Linked DNA regions of Tribolium castaneum. The protein of the gene in region 2 interacts with the protein of the main gene of each other region in a biochemical or structural test. Links are inferred from orthologs where the notes say so. Each region holds a gene or a part of one and is shown on either strand. Other genes may lie near its edges. The genes, in order: Pdhb and muc.

Evidence for each region.
Region 1: the proteins of muc (region 2) and Pdhb form a complex in vitro, tested with the Homo sapiens proteins (2 studies listed by BioGRID and IntAct, with this or other methods). The link is inferred for Tribolium castaneum from reciprocal best matches to the Homo sapiens genes DLAT and PDHB.

What each region holds. Positions count from the first base shown.
Region 1 is NC_087400.1:4,921,721-4,928,696, forward strand, and holds Pdhb (pyruvate dehydrogenase E1 component subunit beta, mitochondrial), read left to right. Parts: upstream 1-3,243; 5' UTR 3,244-3,486; intron 3,487-3,539; 5' UTR 3,540-3,543; coding exon 3,544-3,823; intron 3,824-3,873; coding exon 3,874-4,293; intron 4,294-4,588; coding exon 4,589-4,971; 3' UTR 4,972-5,233; downstream 5,234-6,976. Other genes in the region: Dhod (dihydroorotate dehydrogenase (quinone), mitochondrial), read left to right, coding at 6,355-6,375, 6,421-6,630, 6,678-6,976. UniProt on the Homo sapiens protein: The pyruvate dehydrogenase complex catalyzes the overall conversion of pyruvate to acetyl-CoA and CO(2), and thereby links the glycolytic pathway to the tricarboxylic cycle.
Region 2 is NC_087399.1:3,912,872-3,919,891, reverse strand, and holds muc (dihydrolipoyllysine-residue acetyltransferase component of pyruvate dehydrogenase complex, mitochondrial), read right to left. Parts: upstream 2,872-7,020; 5' UTR 2,654-2,871; intron 2,581-2,653; 5' UTR 2,578-2,580; coding exon 2,459-2,577; intron 2,331-2,458; coding exon 1,973-2,330; intron 1,923-1,972; coding exon 1,360-1,922; intron 1,313-1,359; coding exon 1,013-1,312; intron 964-1,012; coding exon 834-963; 3' UTR 538-833; downstream 1-537. Other genes in the region: Sec6 (exocyst complex component 3), read left to right, coding at 6,921-7,020.

The DNA.
Region 1 (6,976 bases), on a different chromosome or scaffold from region 2:
TAATCGTGTAAATAGGGTGTCACTGCTGCCGACTATAACGACGCTAAACACACAGCATTTGTGTAGAGTTGACCCAAGAAACGCTTATTAATACTGTATAGATCTAAACTGCCCCGTTAGAACAATATCAGTTTATACCTAAGTACAATAGTCAAAGATATTTTAATGTTAAATGTAAGGATCATGTTGACGTTTCCAGAAATTTGTCGATGTTCACAATGATTTTAACAGATTTTAAAAATGTAATATCTTAGACTTAATGTTGCAAGGAGCCAGCGCCGGGACAATCAATCGTCTAAACGGACAATAACTTTGCCAAAGTGACAAGATTTTGCAATACCTTGCCTCGTCGCTGGCTCCAGAACCGTACTCTAGTAAAGTCAAGGGAGCATTGTGATATCAGTGATAATATAATATCGTTTATATTGACAGAGCCGGCATATTTTGATATTGTCCTGTAAAGTGTCCAGTAGGTGACCTGACTTGCTATTCGTGTTTAGACTAATTCACTGTCACATGCATGGTCGTGTTTAGTTTAGGTTCTTTGGACATTCTGTTCGGAATTTTTGGTGTTTTAGCTCGCGCAACGATGGCAGAAATGAAAGTACATCGGTTAGCCCCAACATGTTTTACGGAGGTTTAGATTTCTATGAAATGTAAGGATATAATTTTAAATAAACGCTCTAGAACCAGGGTGTGTTTGTGTGGGGGAGTTTATGGTTATCGCGCGTCGTCGAAAAACGCGCAAAAAGGGTGCCAATCCATTACAGATCCATCCCGCAAATGGGTTATTGATACTTGAGTATCGCAAGCGTGTCAATGTCGCGCTACATTTGCATAATATTCCGAAATGATGTGTGAAAGTTGATACTTAATTGATTTTGGCGATTTACAACGAAAACAATGTCGGAGGATTTTAGAGCGATGTGACATTGTAGTTGTTTACGTGAACGGTCGTAATTACATAAACAGATTTAAATGCAAATTCATTTTGTCGAATCAAAAATAATGTTTTTGACAATAGGCAGAAGCGAGCGGTTTTCGCCCCTTTTTCCAATCGTACAAGATTTTAGATTTTTTAAAAACTTACCTACTTATTATTATTATTTGTTATTTAACTTGCTTTGTTGTCTGTATGTCTGTTTCAAATTTTTTGAGCCAAATCTGAAAGGGTTCCCGTTGTCCCAATGAATTAAAATTTTGCATACTTACTTCATTTCCAAGCGAAAAAAGCATTATTTTTATTTTTTAGTGCATCTTTTAAATAAAAGTTTTTTCAAAAAAAAAAAATTTTTTAATTTTTTTATTTCGAACATTCGTTTTCAATTATAATAAAAGTTCTTTATTTTAATATTCCTTATTTATTTCCTCTAATTGTCCCAATTTTGCCGTTCAATGAAAACTAAGTGACCAAAGTGACAAGAACACACTCAACGTTTATGAATTGTCGTAAAGCACGTATGATTTGTTGTAATAATTGTAAGCAATTTGATTGGGCCGTTGGTGGTCGGTCATTATAATTACGGGAAAAAACAATCACTTGAGACATTTTGATTTATTCAAAAATTATACTTTTCTATATGATTGCATAAAAGTCGGCCATTATAATAATTGTGAGGAACCAGTCGTTTTTAATTTTTTGGATTCATTCAAAATTTTTATTCAATGCGAAAATTAAAACTAGTCAGTAAAATTAATAACTTCGATTTTTAATAACAATGTAAGAATTAAAAAAATACTTAACTAACGAAGACGCTTTGGATTTTATTAAACCGAAATTACCAAGTAAAAAGTGTGCCAGAATAACTTTTTGTTGGCAATACCGAAGTTAAATTTTAAAGAGTAATTACTGGAGTACACAGCAAGTTTGAAAAAATGTAATAAATAAAAAATAATTTTCAAAAAATTTGCAAAATTTCCATCCACCTAATTTTTTCAACAAATAATTTAACATCGTCGCAGTAAAAATATTTTTTTAGAATAACTCAATAATAATAATAATAATAATAATAATGATAATAATAATCATAATAATAATAATAATAATAATAATAATAATAATAATTTTGAAGTTTCCTAAGATGCAACAAATAAAACTATTGGATTGTTTTGTACGTTGTCTTAGCACAGTTTTGCTAAAATTTTATTATGAATTATAGTATTAATATAGCAAATCCTGCTCTCTTTTCCTTTACTAAAAATTACTCAATTAAAAAATCGCTTCAGATTCAAAAACTTTAAAAATTACCATCTATAAACATTTTTTTTGTAGCTCAGTGACAAACAAAAGACTTAATTTTTGGCTCTGATTAATATACAGGGTGTCTCACGTAACTTTACAAGGCCTGCGCTTAATGGACGTAACCAAATATACAAGTCACAAAACACTAGATACAAATATTTATTTATTTTTAAATAAATAATTGAATACGTTTTTATTGTTATTCTACTCATTATCATTAGTTAAAAAAGTCGGGTTTGTCTTTCTTGCATCCTTCAAAGCATCCTTTGATACATACTTTCTTATCAACAGAAATTATTAGCGACATTTTAAATTAATAAGCAGTAGAACTGACAACACAGCGAATTTTTGACAAGACAACGTCATAAAGACAGTACAGGACAGGACCTGAAGCCAACCTAACAAAAACATATCTACGCCTTCTGAGAATTTAAAACAATCCTGAACGGATAATATTTTTGGTGTCATTTTACGCAAACTTTGTAAAATTGTGTAAAACACCCTGTAAAATCAAATCAGAATTAGTGAAGACCATTGTAAACTTTTAGGACCTAGGAGTAATTATCCAATGTAATTTATTACTTTAATAATTATTATTAATAATAGTTATAAACATGCCAAACTGGATACTAATAGTATTTTAATATTAAAATATTGAGTCAAAAAATAAACTGCTTGAAAAAAGTTAGAAATATTAGCTTCTGGTACAACTCTAAACTAAAATATAAAGCTTCATAGAAAACACATATGATATTATTTTTCAAGCTTCTACAAAAATTATTATTATTATTATTATTATTATTATTATTATTATTATTATGTGTGTTTTTAATTAATTTTTGTTTAAAAAAATGGAAAAATTTGAATTTTATTCAAAAATAAATTGAATATGAATGAATAGATTCTTTAAAAAATATTTTATGTTGGCGCCATACAAAGTACGGTTATTTTTACTGTCCTCCGGTGTATAATTGTTTGCCTGCAACGTTATGTTCTGCTCCCTAGTGCCCACAACCTCAATTACAAAAAATTGAGAAACCTGTCAAACTTAACCTTCAAAAATCCGAATTTTATCAAAAATCTCAGATTTGATCTCTCGCTAGGAGCATGTCTCCAAGATAGCGTCACATGTGCGATTACGTATAACGAATGCTCAAGAGATAATAACCTAACAATCAACACCGACGTTTATTCGGTCCTCTCATTCTCCTTCACGACCTTAATCACCTTGACTGTCAAATCAGGTAAGTCAAATAATCAGAAATTTTCACCCTCAACTAAGAAAATCAACCCTTAGAAAAATGGCACCGATCAAAGCCACTAGTCTTTTGAACTTGGCCGGAAAAGCCCTCCACCGGAGACAATTCTCAGTGTCAAAAATCGCATCTGCCAAACAAATGACAGTCAGAGACGCCCTAAATTCAGCCCTAGACGAGGAAATGACCCGCGATGAGCGGGTTTTCATCATCGGCGAAGAGGTGGCGCAGTACGACGGCGCCTACAAGGTCACAAGGGGGCTGTGGAAGAAATACGGCGATAAGCGAGTCATCGACACGCCAATCACAGAAATGGGGTTCACAGGTTGTTGCTTAAAAGTGATTCGTTTAAAGGACTAATTTTTGGCCCCCCAGGAATCGCCGTGGGGGCTGCCATGGCCGGCCTGCGCCCCGTCTGCGAGTACATGACGTTCAACTTCGCCATGCAAGCCATCGACCAGATCATCAACTCGGCGGGAAAGACCTTCTACATGTCCGCGGGCCGCGTCAACGTCCCCATTGTCTTCCGGGGGCCCAATGGGGCTGCCGCCGGCGTTGGCGCCCAACATTCCCAGTGCTACGGCGCGTGGTACGCACACTGTCCAGGCCTCAAGGTCATCTCCCCCTACAATTCCGAAGACTGCAAGGGGCTCCTCAAGGCCGCCATTCGGGACCCTGACCCCGTGGTTTTCCTCGAAAACGAAATTTTGTACGGGGTGCAGTACCCCATGTCAGATCAGGCCCTTTCCAACGATTTTGTCCTACCGATAGGCAAAGCGAAAATCGAGCGACCAGGTAAAATCTTAGAGCCCCCAGGTTTTTTCCCCCAATTCGATTTAAAATTAAATAATTGATTAAATTTAAAAGTAATGTGTATTAAACTGTCCCTCTCAGAATCTTAAGAAATTAACAGTAATTTCGTTACTGTTTTCGGCAAGTACAGTATGTCGTCACCAGAGGGCGTCTAGTTAATTTTAACTGACATCTGGTGTAATGACATTATACAGACTGAACCAAAAGTAACGCCCATTTGTAATTTCATGCCATAGCATTAACATTTTAAGTTTTCACGATATTTTTTTTTTTTTAGGAAAACACATAACGATTGTGGCGCACTCCCGGGCGGTTGAAACGTCACTTCAAGCAGCGAATGAACTTTCCTCGAAAGGAATTGAAGCAGAAGTGATCAATTTGCGATCGTTGCGCCCTCTGGACATCAATACGATAACTGCGTCCGTTGCTAAAACGAATCACTTGATTACGGTGGAGCAAGGGTGGCCTTCGGCAGGGATCGGGGCCGAGATTTTGGCCAGAATTATGGAAAGCGAGGCCTTTTTCCACTTAGACCAACCAGCGATCAGACTGACAGGCGTTGACACGCCCATGCCATATACCAAAAGTCTAGAAATGGCCGCGCTTCCGGTGCCTAAAGACGTAGTCGAAATGACGAAAAAACTACTGAAGGTTAAGTAAAATCTCGAGTAATGTTCCTTTGTTTGAAATTGAAGCGTCGTCTGTATTGCCAACGTACAGTTATTATAATTTATTTATTTATTTCTCGTCCGGCTGAATTAATCAAAGGGTAAGTTTATAATTTTTACTTGTACAAACTGTTGTAAATAATAGTCTAGTTTTAATTGGATCAAGTGTACATTGCATTTTTTAAGCCAATTTTTTCTTATGTGGCCACTTTTACGGTTGTAAATTTTTGTAGACAATAAATCATTAAGGCTGATTGCTTGTTATTATCCCCTTCCTTTTCCGCAAAAACTCCTCATGGGAACCGGGCGCGCTTCAAATTACGCAAAAGCGCATCGTCTGAACTGGATTAATGGTGTCACGTGACACAAGGAAAGGCGCGCAATTCAAGAAAATACGTTTTAATACAAAAGTAACAAATTTAATTAAATACGTAGGTTAGGTAACAGTCACAATTCACAATTAACAGCACTTCTAAATATCCAAGGGCCTTTTGTTTAAATATTCATTTGCGCTTCTTTTGGACATTTTGTGTTCTTCCATGAATATTATTAAACATAATTCCGGCAGCAACACTTTGAAGAAGTAACTGTCCATTTTATCCTCTTGGTCAAACTCAGATTTCATTAAATCAAGGAGTACTTCCTTCTGTTGTTCACTAAACACGATAACACTGTTGCTACAAAACAAGCTCTTGGCTGAAGAAATGTTGTTGCCACTTTGGTGAAACGCCCGATGGCGATCTGAATATTTGCGTCCTTCCATAATTGCGTCCAAAGTGTCTTTGTGTCTCTCAAACGCTTTCTTCAAGTCCTTGGAAGTCAGGTGTTTACAATCAAGAAGCTCCTCCATGAAGTTATCTTCTTTTAGACTATCAATGCCCAGATTTTTCTGGAGAATATCTTCATCGAAAACATCAAGCTGTTCAACACTGCGTCTATATTGATCAAAGTTCTTCTGATCTGTTACGATTTTCTCAAACGAGGGAACTGACACGCCGTACTTTTCAAACGAAAAACTCCTTTGCAAACTCTTCTTCTTCTTCACGGTAACATCAAGCTGTTCTGGCTGCTTCTTCTGCGCCCGTTTCGACTCACCTTTATTCTCCTTATTCAACCACGAAGTAATTTTGGGGCTTTTGTCGCAGGCTGGCTTTCGTTTACGAGTCGAAGCGGCCTTCTTTGGTTCAGTCGGAGATGCCCTCTTTTGCAGTTGTCTCAGTTTTTCCATGAGATTATTCATGGCTTTGTCACCACACGATTTTTGGGGCTCCATTCTGGAAACCCGCCACTTCAATTTGACGTTGTCAACTTGACGTTTCTAAAGTGAGGTTAGGGTTTGTTTATTTTTGAAAATTCGCCTGATTTTTGTAATAAAATGAGGAATTTGAGTTTAAAGGTAATAGTTACGTTCTCGAATGGGTTAGTTATTAGAATTTTGCAGAGGAAACTACGATCATTGTATATTGTTACTGCGAGCGGATTAGGGGCATATGTGGCTATAAGTCTGTATAAAAACAATGAAAAGTTTTACAGAAACGTTGTAATGCCTTTAGTACATTTGCTGGAGCCTGAGCAAGCCCACCGGCTCGGGGTTATAGTCAGTAAATACCGCCTTGTCCCCTCAACTAATTACAAAGACCCCGAGTCTTTGGTAAGTCATTTTTTAACTGTAAGTCGTCACTAGGCCCTCAATTACAGAAAATTACTCTTTTCAATAAAGTTTTCCCAAACCCAATTGGCATCGCTGCCGGTTTTGACAAACACGCCGAAGCGGTAATGGGTTTGAAAGACATTGGTTTTGGTTTCATTGAAATAGGTTCAGTGACACCCCAGCCTCAGCCAGGCAATAACAAACCGCGAGTTTTCCGCCTGTCTGAAGACCTTGCTGTTATAAACAGATACGGGTTCAACAGCGACGGCCACGAGACCGTTTTACACCGACTTATTAATTTGAGACAAACCAAAAAATGTGATACTATACTAGGGGTCAATTTAGG
Region 2 (7,020 bases):
ACGCAAAGAGGTCTTTATATTTTTGACCTCCTTGCATTCCTGTGATCCTGGTCCGAAGTCCATTTTAAAATTTTGCAAAAATTTAAAATAAAAATATGAATTAGGATCATATGAACGCAAGGAGGTCTTTACATTTTTTACCTCTTTGCGTTCCTGTGATCCTGGTCCGAAGTCCGTTTAAAAATTTTGCAAAAATTTAAAATAAAAATGTGTATTAGGATCACAGGAACGCGAGGAGGTCTTTATATTTTTGACCTCTTCCCATTTCTGTGATCCTGGTCCGAAGTACGTTTAAAAATTTTGCAAAAATTTAAAATCGAATGTGTATTAGGATCATAGGAACGCAAGGAGGTCTTTACATTTTTTACCTCTTTGCGTTCATGTGATCCTGGTCCGAAGTCCTTTTTCAAAATTAGCAATTTTTAGCGGCTTTTTTAATTAAAAAAGTCTTTTCTTGGAGTTCGACACCAACCAGCATGGCTTATTGTTTGTGTATTTTTTGTTGGGATTTATTTCAGGAATATTAATAAAACAATCCTATGTACAATTAGTTTATTTATACTTAAATACATAAATACACTTGCTCAACAAAAATTACAACTTTTTATATAAACATCAGCAATGAAAGTGTTCGTGATAACACAATGTGGATGATTACCAGCCCCTCGAACTAGACCTGTGGTGCAAGATCCGCTATAAAACTTATCGTAAATGCAAAAATATACAGATGGAAGATTTCTTCTCTACACCAGCAGGCAACACCTCGTCCACCTCGGAAAAACGGCACGAAAATGTATGATGAAAATGACAAATTTAACAAATATTTCAATAATTTAAAGAATCATCGACTCTGGGTCTTCTAAGAACTGGCGCAACCACTTCAACCACTGCGCCCCGACAGCCCCGTCAACGACTCTGTGATCGCTGCTCAACGTCACCGATATGAACTGGGATTCCTTAAATCTGAAAACAAATATAAACACTTGAAACGTCTCAATCCCCAGCTTCTCACCCTTTCTCCGACTCGTCGGGCACTAATCGCTTGGCAGTGGTACCAACTGCTAAAATACAGCTTTGTGGCGGGTTTATAATGGCACAGAATTGATCAACTCCAAACATTCCCAAATTTGAGACACTTATAGTGCCCCCTTGGTACTCCTGCGGCTGGAGCTTCCCGTCGCGCGCTTTCGCCGCCAACGACTTAACTATTTTATTGATATCAAGGACACCCTTCCCGTCTGCTCCAAAGACTATGGGGGTGATCAGGCCACGGTCAGTGGACACAGCCACACTCACGTCCACTGAAGAGTATCTACAAACACTTACCCAATTTTTCCACCAACAAAACGAAAAACTCACTGTCTTATAACAGAGTCCATCCAGGCCGAGTTCGCCTCCGGCACCTTCTTACAAGCCAGCGCCACCGCCTTAATAATAAAATCATTCACACTCAACTTCACCCCCTCCTTTTCAAACTTCTTATTAAACCGACTCCTCAACTTCAACAACTTATCAACATTGCACTCAATGGTGAGATAATAGTGCGGAACGTTTTGCTTGGACTGCACCAACCGCTTGGCGATGGTGCTGCGCATCCCCGACACGGGGATATCAACATAGGGGGCCCCACTGGGAACATTATCTGAACCTGGGGGCGGCGGCGCCGCCGCCGGCGCCCCGGCCGCCATCCCCTCGAGGTCGGCCGAGGTGACGGACCCAAACAGCCCCGTCCCCTTGCCCTGCAACCGGATGTTGCGTTGCTCGGCTAATCGCTTGGCCATTGGACTGACGTAGACACGGTCGCTTGCCGCGGGCGGTGGCACGGGGGAGGCGGGCACCGGGGGCGGCGTCGGCGCGGCGGCGGGGGCCTCCGGCGCCGGGGTCGCCGCTGGCTTGGGGGGCGCGGCGGCGGCGCCATCGTCCTGTTATCATTGGTAAACAAAGTGGTCAAATATTTGGAAAATCGACTGACCTTGAAGTCTTTGAACGCGGCCACGTCGGCCTCATTTTCCACAATAATACAGACTAGTTTGCCGATGGGGACGTCTTTGGTGCCCGCCGGGACGAGGATTTTCGCAAGGTAGCCCTCCTCGGGGGTCTCGAAGCCCATGGTGGCTTTGTCAGTCTCGATTTCGGCCAAGAGGTCGCCTTCGTTCAAGCGGTCGCCCTCCTTCTTGTCCCAGCTGACGATGGTCCCCAGCTCCATGGTCGGGGACAGGGCCGGGAGGAGGACTTTGGTGTGAGGGGGGTATTCGGTTGCGTAACGCCGGAGGGGGTTCACCGAAGGGCCGTGCCATTGCAGCGCCCTGTTTTCTCTCAGGAGAAGCGATCTGCGATTTGCACAACGTTACATGTGATGGGGCCGACGAAGTGAGGTTATGATTATGTAAACTCGTTTAATAAAAATAGATTAATCTGATTATGTAAAAATTTTGTCGCAATCAAGGTATCTCCTTACCTGTGGTTATTCCGCCTTTTTGTGCATTCTACAGTCAGAGTTCTGACAATATTCGACCGGACAACTTTTCTGAGAGCGCCTTTCGCTAACTCACTTCGTACAACAAACGTGCGCAACATCTTCTGTTATAATAAATTAAAAACGTGATAATATCAATTGATTTTCGTGTTCTCCTGAGAGTAGAGGGCGACTTACTCTGGTTTTGTCTCGTCTAGGTCATTTAAAAGACTTTCACGTCGAAAATCTGTGACTGTGACGTGCTGATCACGTTTTTGACGGCGCCGCCGTGAATCGACAACGTCAAGTCTTATCAACCGGTAAATCAAACAAAAAATCACGTTATGACACAAGTAATGATATAACGGATCGTCATTTATCACACAATCGTCACGGCTGATAAAATTCCCAAGATTTGAATGAATTCCAGTCAAAGAATTATTACAAGCCAGGCAACCAACAATACCACAGTTGACTTTATATCCAATTGACAGCGTCAATGTTGGTGAAGATAGCAACAGAAATGGTGCTGACACAATGAAAATTACAGTCGACCAGACAATCGCTCCGCGCATGGAGCTAGCTTTCTACAGCCAAGTTCACACCAGGAAAATTATCAAAATAAATCATTAGAAAAACATCAATAAGCTGTTACGCTGACCTGCATATCACATTTGTAAAACATCTCCTGACCATTCTAATGTGTTTCTATTACAAATTAAAACTTAACAGCATTTAATTTCTGCATTCCAAAAAGTGGAACTGTTTTAATCCATACCCATGCAAAATGATCCGGGGAATCGATTGGCATCAAAAAAATTACCAAATTCCCAATAGTTTTTTAGTTATGAATTTTTTTAAATTTTACCAATTTTTGCATTTATCAGCAATTTCCTCGAAAACTATTAGTCGAAGAACAATAATCTTTTTTGAAAAAAATAGATAATTTAAAGAGCTTTCCAACGATAATACACTTCATGGGGTTATCTCTAATAGTTCCGGAGCTATTGCTCGAGAAATGTTCCGGGTACCCAAAACCGACAAAAACTGCGACGAAAATTGAAAAACTCAAACATCAAAAAATTGAACATATGGACTTTTTGTGGACTTTTAACAGCTTTTGTGGGTTGTTAAGACATGTAGAAGTCCATAAAAATTTTCTGGAGTTAGTTAAAAAAAAAAAATTTTTTTCACCTCTTTGAAGGTGAGTCTTGTATTACTCAGGAAATTTGAGCAAAAAAATTGAAAATTTTAAATTGCGTGAAAAATTAGTTTAATAAAGAAAAAAAGCCGCTGAATCCAATGGGACAAACCGCACTGCTCTACGACTTTTAGTTTTCGAGTTATGAATTTTTTTATTGAAAAAAATTTTTCACTATGACAAATGGCTAGCCTAAATTTAGGCAAAAAATTTTAAATTTTTAATTCTTGTAAAAAATTGATATAATATGTAAAATGAGCCGTAGAATTCAATGGAACAAACCGCACTGCTCTACGACTTTTAGTTTTTTTTTTATGAATTTTTTTAATGAAAAAAATTTTTCACTATGACAAATGGATACCCTAAATTTAGGCAAAAAATTTTAAATTTTTTATTCTTGTGAAAAATTGATATAATATGTAAAATGAGCCGTAGAATTCAATGGAACAAACCGCAATGCTCTACGACTTTTAGTTTTTTTTTAATGAATTTTTTTAGTGAAAAACTTTGATCGTTTCTGTAGCCGAAACCGTTGCCCGGAGCGGCTCCGGGTTTGGTCGAAAAAAAAGACAAAATTAAGCGCTATCAGATGGTTTTTTGTTTGTTGCTTTAAGTCTTACAGTTTCTGAGAAAAACGCAAAAAAAGGTTTCCATTTTCACTTTTTTTCAATTTTCAACCGCCAATTATGGCGAAACTATTAGAGTTATCGAGAAACGGAAAAATGGAAGACAACTGGAATAAAAAACTCTAGAAAATGACATCGAACTCAAGGCGATATCTCGTAAAAAAAATTTCAATTTTCAAACGCCGATTACGGCCAAACTAAAAGAGCTAGAGAAAAACGGTTTGTTCCATCGTAAAGAGCACATCAAAATCTATAAGATAGAATAGGTTTCATTTGATTTTGAGACACTTTAAAAATTGACCGATTTTAAGGGGGGGTGTTAACTTTTTTTTTATTTTTTTTAATTTCTCATTTACGGCTAAACTATTCCAAAAAATGGAACTGTTTTAATCCATACCCCTGCAAAATGATCCGGGGAATCGATTGGCATCAAAAAAATTGCCAAATTCCCAATAGTTTTTTAGTTATAAATTTTTTAAAATTTTACCAATTTTTGCATTTATCAGCAATTTCCTCGAAAACTATTAGTCGGAGAACAATAATCTTTTTTGAAAAAAATAGATAATTTAAAGAGCTTTCCAACGATAATACACTTCATGGGGTTATCTCTAATAGTTCCGGAGCTATTGCTCGAGAAATGTTCCGGGTACCCAAAACCGACAAAAACTGCGACGAAAATTGAAAAAATCAAACATCAAAAAATTGAACATATGGACTTTTTGTGGACTTTTAACAGCTTTTGTGGGTTGTTAAGACATGTAGAAGTCCATAAAAATTTTCAGGAGTTAGTTAAAAAAAAATTTTGTTTCACCTCTTTGAAGGTGAGTCTTGTATTACTCAGGAAATTTGAGCAAAAAAATTGAAAATTTTAAATTGCGTGAAAAACTGATATAATATGTAAAATGAGCCGCTGAATCCAATGGACCAAACCGCACTGCTCTACGACTTTTAGTTTTCGAGTTATGAATTTTTTTATTGAAAAAAATTTTTCACTATGACAAATGGCTACCCTAAATTTAGGCAAAAAATTTTAAATTTTTAATTCTTGTGAAAAATTGATATAATATGTAAAATGAGCCGTAGAATTCAATGGAATAAACCGCACTGCTCTACGACTTTTAGTTTTTTTTTTTATGAATTTTTTTAATGAAAAAAATTTTTCAATATGACAAATGGATACCCTAAATTTAGGCAAAAAATTTTAAATTTTTTATTCTTGTGAAAAATTGATATAATATGTAAAATGAGCCGTAGAATTCAATGGAACCAACCGCAATGCTCTACGACTTTTAGTTTTTTTTTTATGAATTTTTTTAGTGAAAAACTTTGATCGCTTCTGTAGCCGGAACCGTTGCCCGGAGCGGCTCCGGGTTTGGTCGAAAAAATAGACAAAATTAAGCGCTATCAGATGGTTTTTTGTTTGTTGCTCTAAGTCTTACAGTTTCTGAGAAAAACGCAAAAAAAGGTTTCCATTTTCACTTTTTTTCAATTTTCAACCGCCAATTGTGACGAAACTATTAGAGTTATCGAGAAACGGAAAAATGGAGGACAACCGGAATAAAAAACTCTAGAAAATGGCATCGGACTCAAGGCGATATCTCGCAAAAAAATTTTCAATTTTCAAACGCCGATTACGGCCAAACTAAAAGAGCTAGAGAAAAACGGTTTGTTCCATCGTAAAGAGCACATCAAAATCTATAAGATAGAATAGGTTTCATTTGATTTTGAGACACTTTAAAAATTGACCGATTTTAAGGGGGGGGTGTTAACTTTTTTTTAATTTTTTTAATTTTTTTATTTACGGCTAAACTATTGTAAAAAGTGGAACTGTTTTGATCCATACCTATGCAAAATGATCCGGGGAATCGATTGGCATCGAGAAAATTGCCAAATTCCCAATAGTGGTTTAGTTATGAATTTTTTAAAATTTTACCAATTTTTGCATTTATCAGCAATTTCCTCGAAAACTATTAGTCGGAGAACAATAATCTTTTTTGAAAAAAATAAATAATATAAAGAGCTTTCCAACGATAATACACTTCATGGGGTTATCTCTAATAGTTCCGGAGCTATTGCTCGAGAAATGTTCCGGGTACCCAAAACCGACAAAAACTGCGACGAAAATTGAAAAACTCAAACATCAAAAAATTGAACATATGGACTTTTTGTGGACTTTTAACAACTTTTGTGGGTTGTTAAGACATGTAGAAGTCCATAAAAATCTCATGAAAAGTTGGTATAATATAGAAAATGAGCAGCTGAATCCAATGGAACAAACCGCTACGGCTAACCGTTCGAAAGATATCGTCAAAAATATAGTCTCGTTACAAAAATGTCTCAACTAAACTTATGTTATTATCTTTATTTTTTTCACCCCCTTTATATTCCGCAATTTTCTTTATTTCTGTAGGATCATAACGAACGATAATTTTCCTGGTGTGAACTTGGCTGTAGAAAACGAAAATGGTAGAAGGGGAAATGGTACTAGCTCCATGCGCGCAGCAGTTGTCTGGTCGACTGTAAGTTTTGGTGCGATCCTAACCGACATTGACGAGAACGCTGTCAATTGAGTGTAAAGTCAACTGTCTCACCCAAACGTCAAACTGACAGTTTAGGTTAGGTCAAAACACCCCCAAAAATGACCACAACAAAGTCAAATATGCGCGAATTGGAGGCGGCGGCCAAAGACTCGGCCCGGGCGCACGTGGTGAACATGTTCCAACGTCCAGGCCAGTTGG